Schizosaccharomyces pombe: one gene and its partner. The protein of the gene in region 1 binds, or shares a complex with, the protein of each later gene. Each region holds a gene or a part of one and is shown in the gene's direction. Other genes may lie near its edges.

Region 1 (2,780 bases):
TTTTTTAAAAAGCCGTATAGGAAAAGGGGAATATCGAGAACGCCATATGAATGGCTTACCTATGCTGATAAATGTGTTATTGAACTTAGCAAGTCCGAATTGAAGCCCAATGAAGAAAAAGAATTACCAAAGGACATTAAAGAAGACTGCAAAACCGTAGAAGAGAAGGAAAAGGTCGTTCCAAGGAAGCCACTGCAATCTGAAGGGATTAATGAAGACGATTCCCAAAAAAATGGAGAATTAATTGTCTTGCATGGGATTAATCACCAAGCTGCGATGTTGACAGCTTGCGGTCTTTTCATGGTGTAAGTTACGACGAAAATAATGAGTGTAAATAAACATTCACAGATGAAAAGCGACGCAAGAAGGAAAATATGCTAATCATGGTAGTACATCTTCTAACACCAACAAATGGAAAATTGCCTTTGCTTCCTTTCTTTTAGGGATGTTTTTCACACAATTTGGCTTCCAAAAAAGTGAACGCAGCATTAATGCTGAAAAGCTAGAAAGCATAGAAAAGCCTGAAAATGACAACTAGGTTGTATTAAGTCGTGCTACGGCACAGACTAGATTGCAAAATTAGCTTTCTCATTAGCAATTAAATTTTTTAAAATAAAGTTAACAGGCTCATAGATGCCTAGTTTCAACTTGAGATGAAAGCCGCTTTCAATTGAAAATCTAGCTTTTCGAAAGTTTAAAGAGCGTCTGAAATGAATGCGTATTCTTCCACTCTATATTTGTTGTAAAAAGAATTAAATTAAATCTCGGCTAGCGACGCTGATTAAATATGTATACAGAAGTACATATTCTATTAAGATTGATTTCAATGTGTAACTATCAGACTCGGATTGCCAAGTTGTTATTGTAAATCCAACCAAAAACTTCAATCAATACAAAAATACTGTCCGTGATATACATCCTAGACTAAGTTGTAAATCACAGCCCAGTAATGTGCCCTATTTTCGCATGATGAATTTATATTTAATGTTAGAATCAATTTTTCCTTAAACAATACAACAATTATTAATTGCCATTAAACGTTCAGTAAAGTCCTCGCATGTAGTTACTGCTCTCTACCCTTACCAAATGGCGTCTGCATCACCTTCATCTTCCAGAAGACTGACAAAAGTAAGTAAATTTTTATATTTTTACTTTATTCTTACATAGCTAATATTCAAATGGTAACCAGGAATATTCTGACTTGCGAGAACACCCTATTCCAGATATTCGAGTTAACCTAGTTGACGACAATCTATTTCACTGGGCTTGTACAGCTCTTGGTCCATCGGATTCGGTGTACGCAGGGGGAAAATTTCATTTCTCATTAAAATTTCCTTTGGACTATCCATTTCAGCCTCCTACTATTGAGTTTACTACCAGAATATACCATCCAAATGTAAGCATTTTATCGTATTTCTGTATGGAGTAATCATTGATCACATTTTTAAACGAGATACATAATTATTTATATATTTATGAATTTTCTAACCTGTTTAGTTTGACTCTGAAGGAAACGTTTGTTTGGCCATTTTGAAACAACAAGTTTTCAAACCCAGCATCAAACTGAGGAGTGTTTTGGAGCAAATTTTGCAACTTCTTAGGGAACCTAATCCTGACGATCCTCTTGTAGCTTCCATCGCTGAACAATATCGAAACGATCGCCCTTCGTTTGACAAAATTGCTAGGGATTATGTCGAGCAATTCGCCAAGTCTTGAAACTGACGTTGATGACGTTGAAAATATTGTATTCCAATTCCAAAATTCATCTTTGGACTTTCAATCTTCCGATGACTTTTCGATTTTAGGAATCGACCAACCGCACCCTATTGTCAGAATCGGAGGAATGTTTTTCAGAGGTACCTGGCACCAGCCGATTGGAACAGATATTGTCGTTCCTTCGGTGAATGATTCTGAACTTTCTCGTGATGGCCTTGTTCTTTGTAAAAGACGACTTATGTTGGAGCAAATACGACTTGTTCCTAAAAACCCATCGCCATCATCATCAATCCATTCTCCGACACAAGGAGAGCCTGAAAATATCTCCGAGAATTGAGCGTATCTTAGTGATGAAATTAGATTAAGAAATCTGTTGCTGAAGTTTTATGGTACATTTTGTTTTGAATTCTGAAATTCATCTGTATTTATCTCTTCAGGTATTTTACATTAAGTTGCGACAAAAGATCACTTTTAATGTATTAAGTAACTTTATACGCTAAATTTTCATACATATATGGTTATGAACTAATGAAACTTTCTTGAACCCGTAAGAACATTACGTTGTTAAAAGGAAAAATGTATTATATTCTAAGCGTATTTTTATACCGAAGTTGATAGACGTTAAATGTTGAGGACATTATTAGAGATAAAAAGATTAGATTTACATTTTGACCAAAAGAAGGAGGTTGATTGCTCGTTTCAAGAGAAATAGAAAATGCAACGATATTTGCCAATTAAGTAATCGTATTAAGGCTTCCACATGTATTCTGGTAAATTCAACTTGTACTCTCCTAAAGACGTTTGGTAAATTTCGACACCCTCTTCTTCCAACCGATCCTTCTGTCTCTGTTCACCAGCAGAGATATCTCTTTTAGAAATGGTGCCACGGCTATTGATGACTCGATGCCAAGGAACATGAGTTTCAGGATGTAAATGTTTCATAGCTTGACCTACTTGTCTGGCATATGAAGGCATGCCAACATACCTTGCAATTTCTCCATAAGTACTTACTTTACCATATGGAATCTCGCAAACAGCGTCATAGACCTTTGTATAAAATTCGT
Region 2 (4,332 bases), 3.8 Mb from region 1:
CAGTAATAAAAAGCAGAGGAGTAAACATACTGTATTGACAACATAAGGAAAAAGCGATGCGGAAGAAATACCGCGGTTTTCAGACACATAATCTATCATTTGTAATAAGGCTTCTCTTTTTATTTCTTTGCTAGCCAAATCGGAAGATGGATCATTAAAATCGAAAATAATATTGCATTGTTCAAGCTTCTTTATAAACAGTTCTTCACGTTCAGAGGTATGAACATCTAATTATATTAGCACAAGAATAAAAAAAAGTACATTATTAAAATAAGATATAAGAATCTTACTAAACGTACCATCAAATGAAGGCAACCGAACTAATGTTCTTTTCTCAGATACTTGAAATTGAGAGGAGTGTTCGCGTCGAGGTACTGGTCTAAGACTATGCGGAATGTCAACATTCTCAGCACCTGCTAAAAATTTATTTAAGGGAGTTGGCTGTGAAACTAAATAAGGAGGAGTGGATTGTGGGACAGATAAAAATGAGGCAGAAGATATGGAATCATTAGGAAATTCGTCTATGTTAGACGATACAGAATCCTACAAGTAAGTTAGTATGAAAATAATCATTTTGGTAGAAAATATTAAACTAACCGACGTATACTTACATTTTTTGGTTCTGGATAATTAGGTGGGAAATGGTTGGCGTCTTTAACTTTAGAAGTTTCAATTACGGGCAAAAACGTAGAGTAATCAGAATCCTCATGTCCAGATGCTAGAACCGTCGTATGTATTTTTTTATCAGAATTTTCATGTTTTTCATTATTTGAGTTGGCATGATGATTTCGTTTGTGCTTTAAAGTATCTTTTAGGAAATGACTCTTAAGTTTTTTAAGCTCGTGTTTTGAAGAATGGTGAGTGTCTGTGTGCTTCACGTCGTCAGTTTCCACGTAAGACCCATTTTTAGAGATATAGTGGCTTTTTGAATGACCATTTTTATGTGACCCTTGTTCATCCTTCAACGAAAGTGCTTTTACAAATTTACTCCTTAATCCTTTCATTAAAAGGCAAATGAGATGATTTCCTTGCTCAATTGCAAGTTATAAAGATAGCGAATAACCAAATTTAAAAAACGAATGATTCCTAGGATTGGGACCGAATGTAATTTCGAAACTTAAATGAATGCACCTATTACTGAATATGTAAACGTTGTCTTTCTTCAAAAGAACGTCTGTTAATAAATTTGTACACAATGATGAGTTAGAAAAGGGTAAATTTATGTGGTGGGTAAATAAATGATTTGTTCCTTTCAAGTACTCCGTAAATATGTCTCGGCAAGTCAAAGAGTTAACGGCAACAACCTCGGTAACAGAATTCTGAGCCCCTTTATAAGATGGGTATATAAGCTAAACACCCTAGGGAATAGTTAAGAGGGTTAACCTTGAAACTTCCTGTAATGACAACTTTACTATGAGTTATGTTTGGCAAATGAAGCAAAACGGGGCGAGTGGCTCGAATGTTATGGGACGCTACCGAAGGCTGGTAGTATGAAATAACGTACTTGGGAAATTGGCTGGTACTGTGAATTAACGGATCGGCAAAAATCTTGTGTTATGATGTTACTGTATTGTTGTACGATGTCCGAGGTTTGGAACAACATTATTTTAGCTGCCAAAAAATTAAAATGCTTTTGAAGCAATGATATTGATGTGTATCAATTAATTTTTCATTTGAGGAATAAGTTATCCAGATTATTAATTAAATTACTTTAAAAGCAAATATATATAAAGTCTTTGCCCTACTTTTTCCAGTGTTTTATAGCATACCATATTAGGCATATATCTTATGAATAGTCTAAAAATTTCTGACAATGAATATGCACTCATTGAGCATCCGGGCTTTGCTAATAACAAGGATGCATTTTTTCAGACATTAGGCGGTGTTCAATCAATTCAAAAGGTAAATTGCTAAAAAAGTATAGGAATGACCGGCTTACATCTTTAAGCTTCCCCTTTTATAAAACATGAATTTGATAATCTTTTTTGACCTAATACTAACAATTTCTAGGCATGTCAAACTTCATTTCAAAACCCAAAACAAGCTCTGTTGGAGTTGAATCTAAGGCCTAAAGATAAATACCATCATCCAGTACAAGCTCGAGTGCAATCCAGAAATGACCTATTAGTAACGATTAAAAAAATGGACAACTCTGTGCAAAATGTCAGTAGAATTCGTCAAGTTTTCTTATTCAGAGATATGGCTGATTTCCAGTATAGTACTCAAAATTCACCATTCGTTCAAAAATTAGATTCCACTCTGCGAGTGCTTGACTATAACGCCATTAATAAGTTTTCCATCGATCTAACTCCGGTACAAAGAAAACATGTCGACATGCCTCCTCCTCCTGTTTTCTCTCAGACAAGTCTACCCATGTCTTATAACTTCTTGCAAAATCCACTAGTAGGTCGAGTTCGGCTACCTAATGGGAAAACTACAATAGTCAATCTAAAAGGTCAATGCAGAGTTTGGATTATCACTACAAATATGGGGGTTGAAAGTGTACCTACATGTAGACACTCAAAATTAGGTGAGCCTTCGAAGACAATTCAGGAAGTTATAGAAGCTTTAAAACCTCTTTTTGAAAAACGACCCGTTTGGACGAGAAGAGCCTTATTAAATCATCTAGACCCGTCATATACTCACTATTTGAAATTTGCTCTTCCTTACCTTTCTTATTTATGGACTTCAGGTCCATTTAGAGATACATATACGCGGTTTGGATACGATCCTAGAAAAGATTCTAATGCAGCTGCTTACCAAGCTTTGTTCTTTAAACTCAAGCTAAATGGAAAACATAAAGGGACTAAAACTCACGTGTTTGATGGCAAGACTTTGTTTCCCACTAATCGTGTTTATCAAGTGTGCGATATCGTAGATCCCACAATTGCACCACTACTGAAAGATACTCAGTTACGTTCTGAATGTCATCGGGACACAGGATGGTATAGAAGCGGTCGTTACTATAAGGTTAGAGATCTTATGCGTGAAAAACTCTTTGCGCTGATCGAAGGAGAAATGCCTTCTGAAGTCGCGGTGAATATGATTTTAAACGCCGAAGAGGTAGAGGAATCTGACAGATATTCGAATTTTGATGAACAGGATAATACAGATTTAAATGATACTGTTAGAGGTTTGAATACTTCAGCAACAGATGATCGGATAAATGATTTAATGAGGAATTTAATGAAGAGAAGTCAAGAACATGAAGGCTTTGAGGATTTAGAGGAAATTGATGATGACTACGATGATATATTTGGTGATTGAACCCCCCCCCATGTCAAGGTACTTCGATACAAAAAATTATACTCAACTTAAATTTCATTATATTCTTTTTTGTTTAACTGACCATGGTAAATGGCTTGTAAAACATAACTTATGAGTAGGTTTCAACTATCAATTGTTTCTGATCTTTAATTCTCATTTTTTAATTCTGAAGTAGCTCGCTTGATTTTGTGGTTACAAATGTCAATAATTTTATCAGATGTTTAATCTTACAGCTGCTTAGTGGTGCGCTAGTCGATTGCCCCCGGATGAACCAAACAATAATACTACGCTGCATAGCGCAATTTAAAGTACATATTTTTTCCTGACTTGTTAGTACATAAACTGAGCCAACCTATTTGGCGAGGTTGTAATTGTATCTCCATTCTACTATTTCAATAGTACTTTTGGAGTTTGTATCATTTTAGACGAAAATGTTGGTTTATTATGGTGGATCTGCCTTGAGCGTTCAGAGTAAAAAAAAAATTTTGGAACTAACAGTTTCTGGAGTTTCTGATCTAAATGCTGTTTATTTCTACTTGATCTATACTAAGTCCAATTCTTCTTTAAATTGCGAAAGTCTGCGACCAATTTTGTCTGATTTGCAAGAATCTGAATTCAAGCCTGATGGAACAACGATGGTATATGTGTTTCCACGTCCAGGAACAATTTCTCCTTGGTCATCCAAAGCAACGAACATTGCCAATGTTTGTGGATATAAAGATGTGATTCGTATAGAGAGAGGTATTGCCTATTCAGTAGTTTTTAAAGATGACATTTCAGAAGAGATGCTTAAATCTGCTTTGAATCATCTTTATGATCGCATGACTGAAGCTTTAAGATTTAAACTTCCGGAAGAGGATGAAGTTTTTGATAAGCACGAACCAGCTCCACTTGTGAGAATAGAGCTTAACTGTGGGCAAGGTGGTGACAAGCAGGCTGCAACCGAGCGATTGAATCATGCCAATAAGAAGTTTGGATTAGCTTTGGCACCTGATGAAATTGATTATTTGGTTGAGTGCTATACCTCAGAGCCTAGTTTAAAGAGTCGTGAGCCTACAGACGTCG

Evidence for each region.
Region 2: the proteins of sfc7 (region 1) and sfc1 are in contact, whole or in part, in a crystal structure (PDB 4BJJ), measured with the Schizosaccharomyces pombe proteins. Residues at the interface, in NP_001343039.1 of Schizosaccharomyces pombe: Ser7 (codon at 1,709), Leu8 (codon at 1,712), Thr10 (codon at 1,718), Asp14 (codon at 1,730), Val15 (codon at 1,733), Glu16 (codon at 1,736), Asn17 (codon at 1,739), Ile18 (codon at 1,742), Val19 (codon at 1,745), Phe20 (codon at 1,748), Gln21 (codon at 1,751), Phe22 (codon at 1,754), Asn24 (codon at 1,760), Ser25 (codon at 1,763), Ser26 (codon at 1,766), Leu27 (codon at 1,769), Asp28 (codon at 1,772), Phe29 (codon at 1,775), Gln30 (codon at 1,778), Ser31 (codon at 1,781), Ser32 (codon at 1,784), Asp33 (codon at 1,787), Asp34 (codon at 1,790), Phe35 (codon at 1,793), Ser36 (codon at 1,796), Ile37 (codon at 1,799), Ile40 (codon at 1,808), Asp41 (codon at 1,811), Ile49 (codon at 1,835), Pro61 (codon at 1,871); in NP_593297.1 of Schizosaccharomyces pombe: Ser3 (codon at 1,795), Leu4 (codon at 1,798), Lys5 (codon at 1,801), Ile6 (codon at 1,804), Ser7 (codon at 1,807), Asp8 (codon at 1,810), Asn9 (codon at 1,813), Glu10 (codon at 1,816), Tyr11 (codon at 1,819), Ala12 (codon at 1,822), Leu13 (codon at 1,825), Ile14 (codon at 1,828), Glu15 (codon at 1,831), His16 (codon at 1,834), Pro17 (codon at 1,837), Gly18 (codon at 1,840), Phe19 (codon at 1,843), Ala20 (codon at 1,846), Lys23 (codon at 1,855), Phe26 (codon at 1,864), Phe27 (codon at 1,867), Leu30 (codon at 1,876), Val33 (codon at 1,885), Ile36 (codon at 1,894), Gln37 (codon at 1,897), Cys40 (codon at 2,014), Phe44 (codon at 2,026), Arg73 (codon at 2,113), Asn74 (codon at 2,116), Asp75 (codon at 2,119).

What each region holds. Positions count from the first base shown.
Region 1 is NC_003424.3:5,097,123-5,099,902, reverse strand, and holds sfc7 (TFIIIC subunit Sfc7), read left to right. Parts: upstream 1-1,690; coding exon 1,691-2,053; downstream 2,054-2,780. Other genes in the region: protein mug95, read left to right, coding at 1-305, 391-538; ubiquitin conjugating enzyme Ubc14, read left to right, coding at 1,087-1,128, 1,190-1,396, 1,498-1,716; alkyltransferase-like protein Atl1, read right to left, coding at 2,464-2,780.
Region 2 is NC_003424.3:1,332,600-1,336,931, reverse strand, and holds sfc1 (transcription factor TFIIIC subunit Sfc1), read left to right. Parts: upstream 1-1,598; 5' UTR 1,599-1,788; coding exon 1,789-1,902; exon of another isoform or gene 1,903-1,958; intron 1,959-2,010; coding exon 2,011-3,267; 3' UTR 3,268-3,585; downstream 3,586-4,332. Other genes in the region: serine/threonine protein phosphatase PP2A regulatory subunit B-56 Par2, read right to left, coding at 31-227, 300-543, 612-1,004; phosphoribosylformylglycinamidine synthase Ade3, read left to right, coding at 3,699-4,332. UniProt on the Schizosaccharomyces pombe protein: TFIIIC mediates tRNA and 5S RNA gene activation by binding to intragenic promoter elements.